Notamacropus eugenii: one gene and its partner. Each later gene encodes a partner of the first gene's protein in a complex. Links are inferred from orthologs where the notes say so. Each region holds a gene or a part of one and is shown on either strand. Other genes may lie near its edges.

Region 1 (7,372 bases):
TTTTACTCCCCTTCTTTCTCTTTCTCTTTTTTTAGTTACTTTCCTTGACCTCCAACTCTCACTACCTTTTACGTAGGGATTGCCATTTTGGTCTTCACATAGCCGGAGTGTCTGCCTCTTTCGCTGCTGGCTGGGGGGCTCCAACAAGTCAAAGATCATCTCATTATAGATCTCAAAGAAGGAGATCCAGATAGAGAACCGGACATCAGCTGGGACACAGAATGGGGCAGTATCTGGCTCAGCCCATCTACAAGATGTGTCTGTGGAAGGTACAATAAATAGTCAGCTACAAGCCTAGCTTTGATCATCATGCTTGCGTCTCAATAGCAAAGAATCACCCTGGGCTTTCACTCCTAATAACAGTAACTCTGGATTTCTACAGAAGAAAATGTACTTGTAGAGGTAAGTTTAAAAACATGCCTTTCACAAGGACTTCTTACAAGGGTTTGATTTTTTTTTTTTTCAGTAAGGGGTAAAGACAATGTGAGGTGGGAAGGAGGAAAAAATAGACTGTGTTCACTGAAATGACAAAATTTTCTTAAAGTTAAAAAAATATACCCTCCATTTGGCTGAGGCTGACACTGCTTTGGCTAGTCAAATGGCTCGTAGAAGAGAGTCCAGCAATGCCACTGTCAAAACTGGCACTGTTCCCCAGCGGTAGTGATTCAGTGTTGTGGCTTTTCTTCAGAGAGTTTATCACTTCCTCCTAGAGAAACCCCAAGAGAAAATAAATACAAAGATTTCCTCGGAGTACTCCTGCCCTTCATTGATGCGATTCTGGGTACTGACCTCACGAGAGCTGCCATTCAGCAGGGCTGTCTTCTTCATCTCTTCCTGCCTCACCTGCTTGCTATCTAGCCAAATCACTTCATTAGCAAAAGAAGGCTTCAAGTCAGAGGCTGGGTAGAGCTGGTTTCGAATACTATTGAAGATCAGAGCCAGAGAACGAGGTAGGATCCCTCCATCCTTGTTGCTACCTAGAAACATAAAAAAGGAGAGCTGAGTGCTAGCACTTGAAACGCTAAAAGATCCTTCTAGAAACTCACCAGAATTTCATGATGCTTTGACTCTCACTCACCCTGGACAGTATGGGTCTTTCCAGAGTTAGTCACTCCATATGTATAAATGAGCCAGTTGTAGCCTTTGAGCACATCTCTGACCATTTCTTTCACTGTCAGGTTGAAGAAAGATGCCTGTCCTACTTCTGGTCCAAAGATCTAGGAAGAATACAGTTCCTTGAAGTCTCCTCCTTGTTTTTAACATAGGTTCATTTCCACCAGCCTAATCCCTACCCCTGAAAGTCAGTTCCTCCCATAACTCTCTATTACTCCCCAGACCTATTTGGTATCTAAATACTAAACAATAGCTGTTTCTCTTTTACTCAGAAATCCTGAGGGTCTTCCCCTCCCAGTTTGATTTTTTTTTTTTTGGATTAAAGGGGCCATCCTTTGAGTAACTACTTAACATTGAATGGGTGTATCTCACTCAAAGTGAGGATGTGATAAGACAGGACCAGGATCTCCCATTGTATCCTGATGAATATCAGGCCACTGGACCCAGATGGCTCAGAAGAAATAAGGCTGGTGACCTGGCACAGCCCTCCCTCACTCAAATCAAAGTCAACTGCAAGTCATGTCATCATCTTTATGTCATGGTCTTCTTTGAGAACGAAGGACAAACGCAACAACAATTACTCCCCAGACCACTATGGACTCAACAACTTTATGGATCTTCCTCTTGGCAAACATATAGAAAAACATTTTCCCACTGGTTATACATCTCACTGGCAGCCTTGTTGAAAGTGCTTCCAGCTTGATACCTGGGAAAAGGTGAATCTATGAGTGGCTTGGCCCACACCTCTCTCATTGCTTCTCATAGCAAAAGAGTCCTTGGGTGCCTGCAGAACAAGCGTTTCTGGGTTTTCGATTCGAACACAGCCCTAGCAAATGAAACATACATAAACATGTTAGGAGAAGGGGGCAGTCTCATTACCCTTTTATATCATATCATAACGTGTGCTTCCCAAGGCACTCACCTGTTCTTGTCTCTCTACCTCTGAAGGCAGCAGGGGTCGGACTCTCAAGTATACTTTTACCTTCTCTGCACCATCTTCAGGTACAACCTGTGGCAGAAACCCAGCCAAGAGCCCCACTGATTAGATTAAACAACTACCTCTGAGCCTGAAATCATAGCAATCACAGGATTACTCAGCAGACACACTAGGGAAGTCGTATAGACCTCCCTCTACTGCTACACTCATGCTAAGAGACTGAAGAAAAGTCATTTGTCCTCCTCTCTCAACATCCTCCTTCCTCCTAAGACCTAACCCACAAACGTGCAACAAAAGCCAGCACGTTACCTGCACCAAGATGAGGGTGGGGAGGTATGCATACCTCTGCATGAGGGCGTGCGTGGGAATGGCTAGGAGGGGATGCATGAGTGGGCGTCATCTCGCTGGACTTTACCTGCTCTTTGTCCTCTATCGGGGGAGGGGAGATGGCAGAGAATTCCGACAGCAGGTCCTTTTGGATCCCGACTCCCAAATCAGCAGCAGTGGATTCGAACACGGGCGACACGACGATGTCCTCATCCGAAAGGAAGCCGACAGGCGGGGTCAGGATACCCCGAGACATGACCACGGTGGCGCGTTCCTCCTGGGAGAGGAAAGGGGCTTCAGGGAGAGGGTACGAGCACCTTCCACACCTGAGGTGGGAACCCGTTCTTCCCTCCATTCTCCGCTTTCCCAGACCCGGGAGAAGGCTCACTCCTGGGAAAGCCTCGGCCCCCCGAACCACCGACCCACACGTGAGCTCCGGCTCTAGCTGCGGGGAGATACGGAGACCCCCCCCCCTCATCCACCGGGCCTCGGAGAGGGGGCTCGCAGCCCAGCCCCTCGCCCCAGGCAGGTTATTAGGGAAGCCGTGGCCGAAGGGCTCCGGGGTCAAGTTCACCGGTGAGAGGCGCCCGCGAAGGACCAAGCCGCGGGGAGTGCAGGCCTTTACCCGTTAGCGCGAAGACTTTCCCAGCTCGGCCTCCAGTACCGGAACTCTCTCCGGGTTCCCCTGGCGCTCCAGGTCTCTACTCTCCCAGGGTGAAGAAGACGCCGCTGGCCGCCGCGTTCCTCCAGCCCCAGCTAGCCCTGCAGCCCCCAGCCCAGCTCCGCTCCACCCACGAGGGGCAGCTTTGTTTCGGAGGCAAGGTTTCAAACGACGCGCTCTGCTCTGTCAGCCAATCCGGCGGCGAGATCACATCCGCCAATCATGGCGCTCAGAAGGCGGGCAGGGTTACCAACCGTCGCTGCGTGGGCCTTTGGGCTCCGGGCTCCGGGCCAGGGCTTCTGCCCGCCCTTAAGAACCCCCGACAGCCTGTCCCCCCATGAAATGTGAAGGGAAACCCAAAGGTGAGGCCATCATCCCTCGCCCTACCGTTTTCTTATCCAGAAGCTTGCCCGAGAACTAGAGACTCCTCCCCAACTCTACACCACCCACCCCAAATAAACTCCATTTCCCAGAGGGCATCTGGTTGTGTGTGGTGTCAACTCAGGGCTCGCACTCCATTTCCCAGAGTCCTTCGGGGCGCAGTCCGATAAGGACCTGCCTCTTCTCGGGAAGGGGGAAGAGTCGGGGCCAAGATGGCGACAGGGACGGGCAGTGAGTGTCTGCGCTGCTCGGGGATGGGCCGCTGCGGCGGTTGTGGCAGAACCCTCCCGACCGCCCCCCTTCCCGCTTCCAGCTCGAGGGTTGGGATTCGCAGAGCGCTGGGCCTGGGGGCCCTGTGAGATCGCGCTAGGCGAGACTCGAGCTTGCCGAGGGGGCCGCCGAAGAGGGCTTGTTTATGGAGGGGCCTGGGTCGTGTGCGGAGCCCCAGGGGGAGGGGGCGGGGCAGCGAGGCTTCGAGCGCCGGAGAGACCGGTGGATGGAGGCCTCTATCTGCCCTCGCCCCTCCCTCCCTGCCTCCCCCGTCTGAGTGCCGCGTTCCCGCAGCTTGGGCGGGGCGAGGCCTCCTGCGGCCTGGTCTGCGGGGAGCGGCTCAGGTTTCTTAGTGAGGCGTGTAGCGCGGGAGCCAGGCCTGCCTTGTGCGTCTCTGCGGGGGGGGCCGAGCTTTCTATCCGGAGTGGCGTAGACAGATTTTAGAGCTGGGAGGGCCGCTTAGACGTTAGGCGGCCCACCCCTCTTTTTTTTCCCCCCGCTTTTTGAAAAACAACAACGTTCCCTGCAGTGGAAAGATTATAAGGCTCGGATTCAGGAGGCCTGGGTGCTAGCCTGGATTTGATTACTGTCATTTTTTAGACCTATAGCTTGCGATCTTTAGGCCTCAGTTTCCTAAACTGTAAACTGAGAGGTAAAAGAGGCGTTGGTGGACCAGATGCATTGTGGTACACCTGAAAGAGTCCAGACTATGGAGTTAGAAGGGCTTGGGTTCAAATCCCAGCTCTGCTGCTTACGAAGTGTGAGAGGTAGTGGGCAAATGATTTAGCCTCCTTTTTTTTCAACTGTAAAATAAGGCGATTGGGCTAGAACCAGGGGCTTTTAATTTGGAATTTATGGATAGGGCCTTAAATAGATTTCAAGAAGGTTTTGAATTTGGATTAAAAAATTGATATTTGTTTTCCTTGATATTTGATTTCCTTTTTATTTTATGCATTTAAAAAATTCTGAGAAGGGGAGCCAAAGGTTTCTCCAGACTGCCAAAGGGGTCTGAGACACAAAAAGTTAAGAACCCCTGGACTAGATGATTTCTAAGGTCTTACTCAACTGCTTCTTTACCTTATTCTTAAGGTGGATTGTTGAGATTTGAAGGCATAGAGCAGGTCCTGGTCCACAGTGGGTTGCTACCCAATTTTTGATGTAAAGAGTTGTATTGAGACCAATCTGGTTTAGTTCACTTGATTGGAATAGTGTTAGACCTTTGCCTGGGATTGGTGTCTTCTCAATGGACTCTCACTGAGTTTCCTCTTTCTACAGAACACAAGCTGCTGAGTACTGGCCCCACAGAACCCTGGTCTATTCGGGAGAAGCTGTGTCTAGCCTCCTCTGTCATGAGGAGTGGAGATCAAAACTGGTAAGATACTTGGGATATCAAATGTAGGATAGCAGGAGCTTGGGACATTGAAATTATTGGGAGGCTTTCCTGTACTCGGGGGTTAGTTGAGCCATAGGAGCCAGGAGATAGTGTAAATCCTTAACCATTATCTCAGACTATTGTGAAGTTCCAGGGGAGTAAAAGAGAAGGGTCTTGAATCTTAAGATTTAGTTTAGCCTTTTTGTGATTTTCAGAAAAGAATGAGCACCTTCTTGACTAATTGTCTGCTCTTTCTGTTAATAGTTAAAATACAATTTTTAGAATTTTTTTCTTCCTCAATCTGATTCCAATTTTGGAGTTATACCATTAGTTTAAATGAGAACTCAGTCACTCATTAAGTAGAAGATATTGTTCTCTACAGGAAACTTTGCTTGCTTTCTGGTGTTTACCTGGGCCCTTAGATGGAATCTTGTAATGAAAAACTTGAGAACTGCTTCCCCTGTATTTGTAGAAGCATGTCCAGTGGTGGTAGAGATTAATATCAGTCACTCTCTACCTTGTAAGTAGCAACAGTTCAGGAGCCATCCCTTATCTTCATAATGTAATGGAAAATCTACTGACCTTGAAGTCAAAAGATCTGGGCCTGATTTCCTGCTTAAATGAATATTGATGAACTTGGTGACCCTGGGCTTAGTTAAAAACCACAGCTGTGGTACCTCCTAATCTAGTGGTGCCCTACTTATGAACACATGAAGTGATTCCCGGGTATCTGTCTGTAAATCCATACGTATAAAAGCATTGCCTTTCGTTCCAGAAGCTCCTGTGTAATGGTTGTAAATACGGGGTATTTCAAATATATCCAGATGCTTCAGGGATTAATAAAATGCCAGTTGTAGAAATGTTTCTGATTTCTTCGTATCTTTTAGTCATTAGGTAATTTCTCAGTCATTATATGTTAATGTTAAAATTAATGTCACAAAAAAGTGGATTTATTTTACATTAAAAAGGGGTCTTCAGGTACAAAGCCTAGTAACGACTGCCCTAAATCTGCAAGATGGGATAATGGTACTTGTAAACCCCCTATATTAAAAGAGTGTTGGGAGGCAATTGCTTTGGAAACCGGAAAGCACTATGTAAATGTAAGCTGTTACACATGGGGGTGTGATGGCGCTGTTGGCTGTTGTTGATGCGCATCGTGCATCGAGTTGAGAGTGTAATGTGGTGCAGAGACGCTGTGTTTGTTTTTGGGTAGTTTTGGTCCGATCAGAGGCTGAATCCTAGTTCTGTCACCTTTGTGTAATCGGGGCAAACCCCACTCTGTGAGCTTTAGTTTTCTCATCCTTAAAAGGAGCATGATAATACTTGTATTATTTGCCTCACAGGGTTATTGTGAGGAAATTTCTTTGTAAACCCTCAAGTGATAACAGAACCAAAGACTAGAATAAACAATAAACTGTGCCAGTTTGTTAAACCCAGCATACTCATATATTTAACTTGACTGCAGTATAAAATCCAACCCAGCTTTTCACAAAATGTCTAGTGAAGTAGTTTGAACTGACACTATACTTATTTATTTTTAAGGCATTTGAGTCATAACAATAAGAATACTGACACATTCCCCAAACTGATAGAGCATTAGGTACCTATTCTTTCTCTTTCTCATCTAGAAGTTCTACTGAGGAATGTTCTTTTCATTCTAAATGACTTTTACGTTGTTTATTTACTCCCATATTCAAAGTCTGTTCCTTCGCTGTTCCTAACTGTACTCCTTTTGGTTTTAAAAGTGTGGCTCCTAACCTGTGGACCTGAAATTACCAGCATATCTTTTGTCCTCTCATGATGGAGTTTTATAGTATGTTGTGGTCCAAGACTGATGCTTTGAAGGTCCTTATTTTTTTCTTTTTTTGTAGGGTGTCAGTTAGCAGAGCAATCAAGCCCTTTGCTGAACCTGGCCGACCTCCTGACTGGTTCTCTCAGAAAGTAAGCTCCAGGGATAGTGTCCTTCTATAGCAGTCTTTCCGTACCCAGTCCTATTAATTTAACCGGAAGACCTTTGCCTTATTGAGAGAATTTAAAGTTATGCACTTTTACTGTAGATCAGTGAAAATTGCCTTTTATTTCCTTGTTACCCCTCCTTCAAATTTACCTGTTTGTATTGAGGGTACTACTATTTTTCCATTTACCCAGTTTTACAGTCTTGGGTCCTTTTTTTTTTTAATTAACTTTTTTTTTTCAATTAACCAAAATCTAACATCTCTCTTTCCCACCACCAACCATTTCCCACTGAAAAAGAAGGAAAAATGAAGCCCTTTTAACAAATACCTTAAAGCAAAACAAATTCCCACATTGA
Region 2 (8,004 bases), on another chromosome or scaffold:
TTTCTACCCCCACCATTCATTTAATGAGCATGGCTATGTAGTAGTATATTTAACTGACCTGTATTTGCTGGAATCATTTTGCTTACATTTACAGCAGCAGTATGTTCCTAGTCTAAGTGACAGATTTTTGATAGGTTTAATGGTAAACAAAACTCTTTTCAGATTACCAAGTAAATCTACATTGTTTCTTTTTTTTTTTGTCATGAAAATAGTACTGGAGGGTCCCAATTCAATTTAACCTGTAGTATCTAAGCGCCTAAAACTAGATGTCAATGAAAGATTTTTCTCACTTCCCCATATTATAAAGGAATTTAAAAGCATAAGATAAGTGCTGATCACTTAAGTGTTTGGTCTAGGGGCTTAATATGGAAACTAAGACCTGAAGATCAAGAGTAGCTCTGGTATAAAATTTCTTTTAGTGGCTGTCATTTCCCCTCAGCTTGGCTTCTTATTTTAACATCCATTCTCTCTCTGGTTAGTGAAATCTAACAAATTTCGAATTGTAAATGGAAAAAATAACTTAAATGGTAAACAGAATTTTGCCTTCAACTACACATATGCAATACATACATCAAATCTACAGAAATGGCATGTTGCAACGGATGTAATTTCCCTCATAAATTTGAAACTTTAAATGCAAAATCAAATATACTGCCAACTTAAGCAGTCAGTGTCAAGACAAGCAAAACTGAGCCACTCCTGGAAATGCCTAAATTTAATTCACAAGACATTCCTGAAAGGATTATTACCTATGGAGTAAATAAAGCAATGAAGGGTCTTTCTTCTTGGTTCCACCACAGAGCTACTTGCATCTAAACAGGTGTAATACTAGCATCTACTAACCCCCTCCCACAACAGATAATTTTCAAAGCCTACATACAAATAAAAATAAAACAAAAAGACAAGATACTGCGGTCACAAGTATTTTAATTTTTTAAAATCACTTATCCAAAACAAAAATTGCACTATTCTACTCTAAAGTTAACACAAGTAAAAATTAAAGAGGTTCTGTCTCACAGAGAAGGTGCTGAAAGTCAGTGAAAGCTTCACGCCTCACACTACACTAGGTTCCTTCAGTGCACATGAAAATGTGATAGATTTGACACTACTCTTTCAAAAAAAGTTAACATTCAACCGATACAACTATTTATTAACTTTCTAAGCAACCAAAACAATTTCATCAGTTTTTATTGTTTGAGTAACATTACAATGAGCAATCACCACCATACAATTCATCTTTCATGTTACAGTCCCAAGGAAAGTCATTGCAGTACAGTTACACACAAGTCTGTTAGAAGCACTGGGCTCTAATGGACAACTGTTCCACAAACTGCGGTATTGTGTGCTTCGTGGACTTCCTGGAATTGTCATTACACTGCACCCTGTTTTAAGTGGCTGTACCTGAAAACCAAGGTATGCAATTCCTTAGGATTAGAAGGCATCAAGTTATGCGGTGAAAAACGAGGGGAAGGCGGGGGAGCAGAGAGGAGAGTCTAAGGAGCCTCCCCTCAGAACCCAACTTTTTAAAAAAAGAACAGTTTCTGCTCTGCCTGTGCTTCCATGAAGCCCAGAACAACAACAAAAATACACATGGTAAGTAGGCAGCAGGAGGGACAACGTTCCGAACCCAGAAACTCGCCCCACCGGAGCCCTGGCACGGAGGCCGGGGGTGGCACCACCCCCGCGGGGCTCGGCCGCCTCCGCCGGCCCCCTCCTCGCGAGCAACGAGCCCTACGGCCCAGACAAACCTGCAGCCCGTTCCTCCGGGAGGCTCGGCCGGGGACGAGGAGCCATGGCTTTTACCCGCAGCGCTCCGGGGAGTGGGGAGGGAAGAGGCGACCCGGGGCCGGGGTCCTGGGCTCGGATCTAACCGACCTCCGGCCTGGCCGCGCAACCCCGGCCTTTCCGAGGGGCTCCCGGGGACGGGACGAAGCGGGGCGCAGTCGGTCCTGAGAATAAACAGGAGCTCCGGGGGCCTGCAGTAAACACGGGCCTCCCACAGGCCCCACGTGGGAGCTGCCTAGAAACGGAAATGCTTTCCCGGCCAGAGCGGCCGAGCACAATCCCCGAGCGTGCGGCCCGGGCGACGGCAGCGGCCAGAGGGCCCCGACGACCTGGCGGCGCCACCCAGCGGCGAGCCGGGAGGCCTGCAGGCGGGCGCTCCTTCCCCGCTCCCCCCCTCCGTCGCCCCCCCCAACCCGTTCCCCTCTCTCGCTGCACAAGGCCCAACCCAAGAACTAAAGACCACAAAATGGCTGCCGGCCGCTTCGTCACGTGACCCCCTTTGTGCCTTTCGGGCCCCCGAACCCGGCGGGTCCCGGGTGGAAGCGGCCGAAGGGGGGGGCGGCGGTGGGCAGCGCCGGTGCGGGCCCGGCGGGGCCGCGGCGGGCCGGGGGTCGAGGCCGAGGGAGTCGGGGTAAAGGCCGGGCCGGCGACTGAACGTCGGCGGGGAAGAGAAGATGGCGGCCATTTTGTGTGGGGCTGACTGCTCCGTGGCCGCCGCAGGCAGCAGGGGGAGCGGGGCCTGGCGGTGGGTCGGGCGGGGGAGTTTACACGTACCGACTCCTCTTCCTTCTCCATTCCGGTGGGCATCTGCGGCACGGCCCGGTTTATCGAGGCGTATTCGTGCAGATCGGGCAGATCCTCACAGCGGAAGACCGGCAGCGGCTTCGAGGCGTCCAGCGCCCGCGCCCGAAACGACAATTTACTCATCTCAGGCGCAGCAGATACCTCTCCGCTCTGGGGAAACGGCCCCGGCCAGCGGGATCATGGAGAACCCGGGGCTCGGTCCCCACTCGCCTGCCGCTGCCGGGGACTGGAGGGGCGGAGCGTGGGGCCCGCCGTCCGGGCCCTCACCGCAGCCGGGAGGGTGGGTGCCTGTGCCGCTCCGCTCCGCTCTCACTCGCTCTCTTCAATACGCCATGGCCAACATGGCGGACATTAAAACTCCACTGTGCGCTCTTCAGCCAACCCCAGCCATTCCCCACACTGCATCGCGCAGCGGCGCGGGCACGCGGCGGAGGGGGGGAGCGCGGGCTCGAGGCCGGGCGCCGGCACGGACTGCGCGCGCCCCCGCCAACCCCTGCTCCCCAGGCTGGCTCCGGCTCCGGCTCCGGCTCCTGGCTGCTCCCGCCGCCGCCGCCGCCGCTGCCTGCTCCGCTCTCCTCCCCCCGGTCCTCCCCCGCCCCGGGGCCGCCGCTCCCGCCCGACGCGGTCCGGAGGGGACCGCGCTGCCGGGACCCCGGGCTGCCCCGCTCCCGGCCGAGGCTTCCCGGAGAGCCGCGGGAGCGCTGGGGCCGGTCGCCGCCGGGCTCCGGGGGGCCCCTGCCATCCCGGCCGCTCCTCCAGCCCGGAGCCCCCCGTCCCGGAGCCCCGGCGCCCGCTGCTGCCGTGGGAGGGCAGCCGCCGAGAGCTCGATGGTTCGGAGCGGCCGGGGCGCGCTCCTGCAGCCGGGCCGGCAACTTGGGGGGCCTCGGGGAGAAAAGCCCGGCGCGACGGAGGTGGCGGCGCGAACACGCGCGCACACACCCCCTGACACACACACACGCACACACCCCCTGACACACACCGACACGCGCGCACACACCGACACACGCGCGGGCGGGCGCGCGCCCCGACACCACTCGAGCTTCTCTGCAAACCAAACGGTCGCGAAGTCAGCGCCGTCTACACGGGCTGCCCTCGAGGAGCCGCCCCCCTGCTGGGGGGCACGGCCCTGGGCACCGTTACCCCGCCGCCGCGCCGGGCTGGGGCGTCAATATTAAACACCCGGCTGCCCCGCGCGAGGCTTCATTCTGTTTTATCTGCAGATGCGGGGAGGTAGACGCACATGGAACCGGACGGAGGAGGGGAATCCTGAACGTAACCGGGACGGGGACGTTCCGAAAGGGTTTCCTCTTTGCCGAAGCCGGGACCCTCTCCCCCAGTTGTCCCGGTGCTGGGGCTTTCGCGAAGTCCTGATTCCCCGCCGGTGGTAGAAGAAGAGGCTGTTTCCCGAGTGGCCGTGACGGACGGTCATTCGTCCTGTTTAGGAGGCTTTCTTCTAAAACATTTTACACACATTAAATAAATGCCATTTGTGGCAAGGGTCGTAAAAGACGTTCTGCAGCTGAAACAGCAAGAGCCCGAGCGCCTCTAGTCATTTATGAATGAGACGCAGGCGAACTCGTCTTCTAAGGGTTATTCCAGACGCCAGAATAGGGATTCCAAGAGCCTTCCCAGTTTAAAATGGTCCGGGATGGGCTGATTGGTCTTGCAGAGAAATCCCCACATTCACTCCACAAAAACGTCTTCTCAGTCCATTTCCCCCGGCTGTACATCCCACATCACGTCAAGATAAGTACGATCGGTCGGCATCGTTAACCACTGGCTGAGGGCAAATGGGCAAATGGGCAAATTGCTACCTCCTGGCCTGGGTTAGCTCTAGCCCATCCTGGGGACAGCAATAGCCGCTACTTCCCTCCAGCGGGAGGATGCTAATATAACGAATATTGATTCAACAAACTTAAGAAAGCAGAGTCAGCTTTCCCTTCACTTTATACAAAAATCCTTCCTCCTCCAGAAACAAATATGATGACTCCTTTAGACAGGTAAATCCCCTTAAAACAGCTACTGCTGATTCCCAAGTATATACCCCACAAATATATACAGAATATAGACTACATGCAAGGCGCTTCATACGGGTTACGTAAAATACAAAAGCACCAAGGAAAGACACTTGCTTTCTGACTGAGCAAATCACTTCTCTGTCTCCATTTCCTCATCCATGAAATGGATGAACTGTGTTATCTACCTCACAGAATTATTATGAAGGAAATTCCTTGTAAATATATACATGACAGCTATTATACCAAGATGAGAGAGACAATCTCTGACTTCCAGGTGCTTATGACTACTCTAGTAGGGGAGATAATACAACACACAACACAAGGCAGTAATGAGTACCATGAGTACAGGGAAAGGATCACTTTAGACCAAGATAAACTTGAATGGAAAAGGTAGCATTTGAGCTTAGTTTTGAAGGATACATAAGGGGTCAAGAAGTTGAGCTGTGGGGATGAGATCAAGGATGTTTGCTTATGGAAGAAAGGAGCAATGCATGTTTGGGGGAAAGCAAGAGGTCTGATCTTGTTAGAGCGCCATATCTGGCTAACTGCTCACAGGTAAGTCTAAAAAAGAGTTATATCCAATTTCAGATAGCTTTGAACATCAGGAATTTGGACTCGATTTGGTTGTCACTGGGCATCTTTGAGCAAAGGACTAATGTGACTGAAGCTGTCCTCTAAGAAGAATAACTTGAGAAGTGGTCTATGGAAAAATACAAGAGAGAACGTTAGGAGGGTAATGGAATAGCGTCTGCTCTAAAGTCGTAGCACTGGGAATGGAAAGGAAATGATGAATGATTTAAGTGATAATCCTCATAAGTTATGAAAAAAAATCTAAACCTAAAACATTAATTCTAGTTCAAAACTGGGATTTCTGCTAATATTAATGAATAGTAAAGAAAGAAAAAAAGAGTCAAACCAACAGAACCTAAAGACAAGTACCCTCATATGTGTGGGTGTATATATGTATATATGTGCACATGTACATATATACATACATACATACATACATATATATATATATAAAACCATGCTTACAATGTTTACACATACACCCAATCTGTTACCAGGTCCTGTCATTTACTTCTTCAAAATATATCTACAATTCATGATACAATTCATTCTCTCCTGTCCCACTGTCATCCCACTTAGAAGTCCACAATAGACTTCCTGTTTTCCCTATCTCTACCTTGTCCTCTTGCCAGCCCATCCAACAATATTCTCTCAATCTAATATTCCTAAAATACTACGTTCGTTGTTCTTCTGCAGATCAAATACCTACAATGACTCCCCTACAGACATCCTGCCCTAACATCGAAAAGTCATGCTCCTCGCTGGTCAGGACAATCAGTTTCCTGCCATTAGCATATGCTATGTTCATTCTCACCTCTGGCAATCCCCCATCCTTTATTCCTCAGTCTCCCTTTCAAAATGCTTCTTGTCCATTGCAAGTCTAACCTCCATAGTGAACCAATGACTTTTTCTGGGCTTATTTCCTTATCAGAGGAGAGGGTTACACTTTTATTTCCAAGATTTCTTTCAGCTTGAAAAATTCAATGACAGACTGATAATCTCTTGTATCTCTGAGCTCCTATTACTTGTATAGTCAGTTGTAGAAAACTTTTTTAGTTGTCTTATATTTTATCTCTGCAACTAGAATATGATAAGCTTCTGGAGGGCAGATGTCATGTCTTCTATATCTTTTATATTCTCCCAAAATGTCTAGCACAGGGCTGAGTACACAGTAGCACATTTGTTAAATGCCTGTCAATTGACTGATTTGCATATATATATATAAGCATATGTTATATATACACACACTTTAAATCTTATCACTATTTGTAAAACCCTAGTTTATGGAAAATAAAATCCATCTTTTTTTAAACAATGCCTTCCTCCTCTAAAATCCCATGATGGACTAGTTTGTGAAAATGTAGACTTCTTCCCACCTCCAAAAAAAAGATTCTTAGGGAAATTGATGCTCCTAAAATTAAAAAGTTAATATAGCATGTTAGTTGTAAAACACTTTGTGACTGTAAAACAATAAATACTTTAATAAGTTCTCCTTTGAAGGAAAGGCAGTTAACTTATTGTTTCATATTTTATTCCTGAATGATGTAGTAATCACAACAAGTGTACCAAAACTGCAGTTTCTAAAAATCCTTTTGAGAGGGTCATGGGGCTAGCCTAAGACATCTTAATTATAGTTAAATTTCCATTGTTAATGTTGGACAAATCATTAAGTTCTCTGGGTCTTTTTTTTTTTAATTTTCTAAAGAGGAAAAACACTGACCTCCCACATGAGATGCCTATGAGTGTCCATATTAATTATTACTAGCAATAAAATGCTTTGAGTTCCTCTGAGATAAAAAGCTGTCTAAGTACAAAGCACTTTATTTTATATTACTTGAAGACTAAAGTTGTGGTGAAGTTAAAAGTCAGTGAAAAAAGTTTCACTTAAATTTAGACCAAAAAAATCAGGAGTGATTGGGTATTTTCTGCTACTTCCAAGCCTAACCTTCATTTTTTTAACTCTCAAACTGGTAAATGAACTTATCTCCATCCTGCTAGTCTTGCAAGAAACTGATGAAAAAGAAGGTTAATAGAGGTAAAGACCAGCGTAGTAATGTTTAATGCGGCTATTTCTAGGTGTTGTTGATGGGAAAGAATAGTGAGATATACAGAGACGGTAATTTGAGACATTAAAATAACCCCACAACTGAATATTGACTGAGATGATGGTATTACTCAATTAGTAAAAATAGTCTTGGTTTTTGTTATGATCTACATGCCTGTTTGTCTGCCAAGTGAAACCAACAGTTTAAAGTGTTGCTGGCTTTTATGAAAAATTAATTAAGTGGTTGGAAAGCATTATGATATTTTGGTTGCAGCTTTTCATAGATCATAGATTTAGAGCTGAGAGAGATCTTAGAGGACATGTAAGGTCAAACGCCTCATTTTATAGAAGAGGAAGCTGAGGCCCAAAGAAGATGTGACTTTCCCAAGTCATACACCTTGTTAAGTGCCAGATGTGGCATTCACACTCAGGTCCCTTGACCTTAAATTCATCAGGCTTTCCATAGAACCACCTTTCTCTTAACAATGTTTTGGTTAGTACTTGATAAAAGAACTATTTGGTGAGTTTTTAAAAAAATTAAATTCCAATGATTAATTTATTAAAAATAAAAGGGTATCTTTGAAAACTAAAATTTAAGAATTATAAATCATGCACATTAGTAGAAACATTTAAAAATTATTATATTGAATTGTATAATTATATTGAATTTGTATCAGTTCACAACATTTCTTGAGAACCTACTGTATGCAGGCTACTAGGTTAGATAGACATTAAATATGAATGGAAGAGACCTCAGGAGTCATTCAGCACACATTTATTAAT

The links. Proteins that work in one complex are often made in the same cells at the same time.
Region 2: BRD8 (region 1) and EPC1 share a complex: the UniProt entries of both Homo sapiens proteins name them as parts of the nuA4-related complex. The link is inferred for Notamacropus eugenii from reciprocal best matches to the Homo sapiens genes BRD8 and EPC1.

What each region holds. Positions count from the first base shown.
Region 1 is NC_092872.1:365,308,730-365,316,101, reverse strand, and holds the start of BRD8 (bromodomain-containing protein 8), read left to right. Parts: upstream 1-4,253; 5' UTR 4,254-4,365; coding exon 4,366-4,456; intron 4,457-4,964; coding exon 4,965-5,061; intron 5,062-6,932; coding exon 6,933-7,002; intron 7,003-7,372. Other genes in the region: kinesin-like protein KIF20A, read right to left, coding at 66-260, 559-706, 790-977, 1,079-1,217, 1,820-1,939, 2,036-2,122, 2,466-2,633. UniProt on the Homo sapiens protein: May act as a coactivator during transcriptional activation by hormone-activated nuclear receptors (NR). Isoform 2 stimulates transcriptional activation by AR/DHTR, ESR1/NR3A1, RXRA/NR2B1 and THRB/ERBA2.
Region 2 is NC_092874.1:72,575,564-72,583,567, forward strand, and holds the start of EPC1 (enhancer of polycomb homolog 1), read right to left. Parts: upstream 3,012-8,004; 5' UTR 2,713-3,011; coding exon 2,560-2,712; intron 1-2,559. UniProt on the Homo sapiens protein: Component of the NuA4 histone acetyltransferase (HAT) complex, a multiprotein complex involved in transcriptional activation of select genes principally by acetylation of nucleosomal histones H4 and H2A.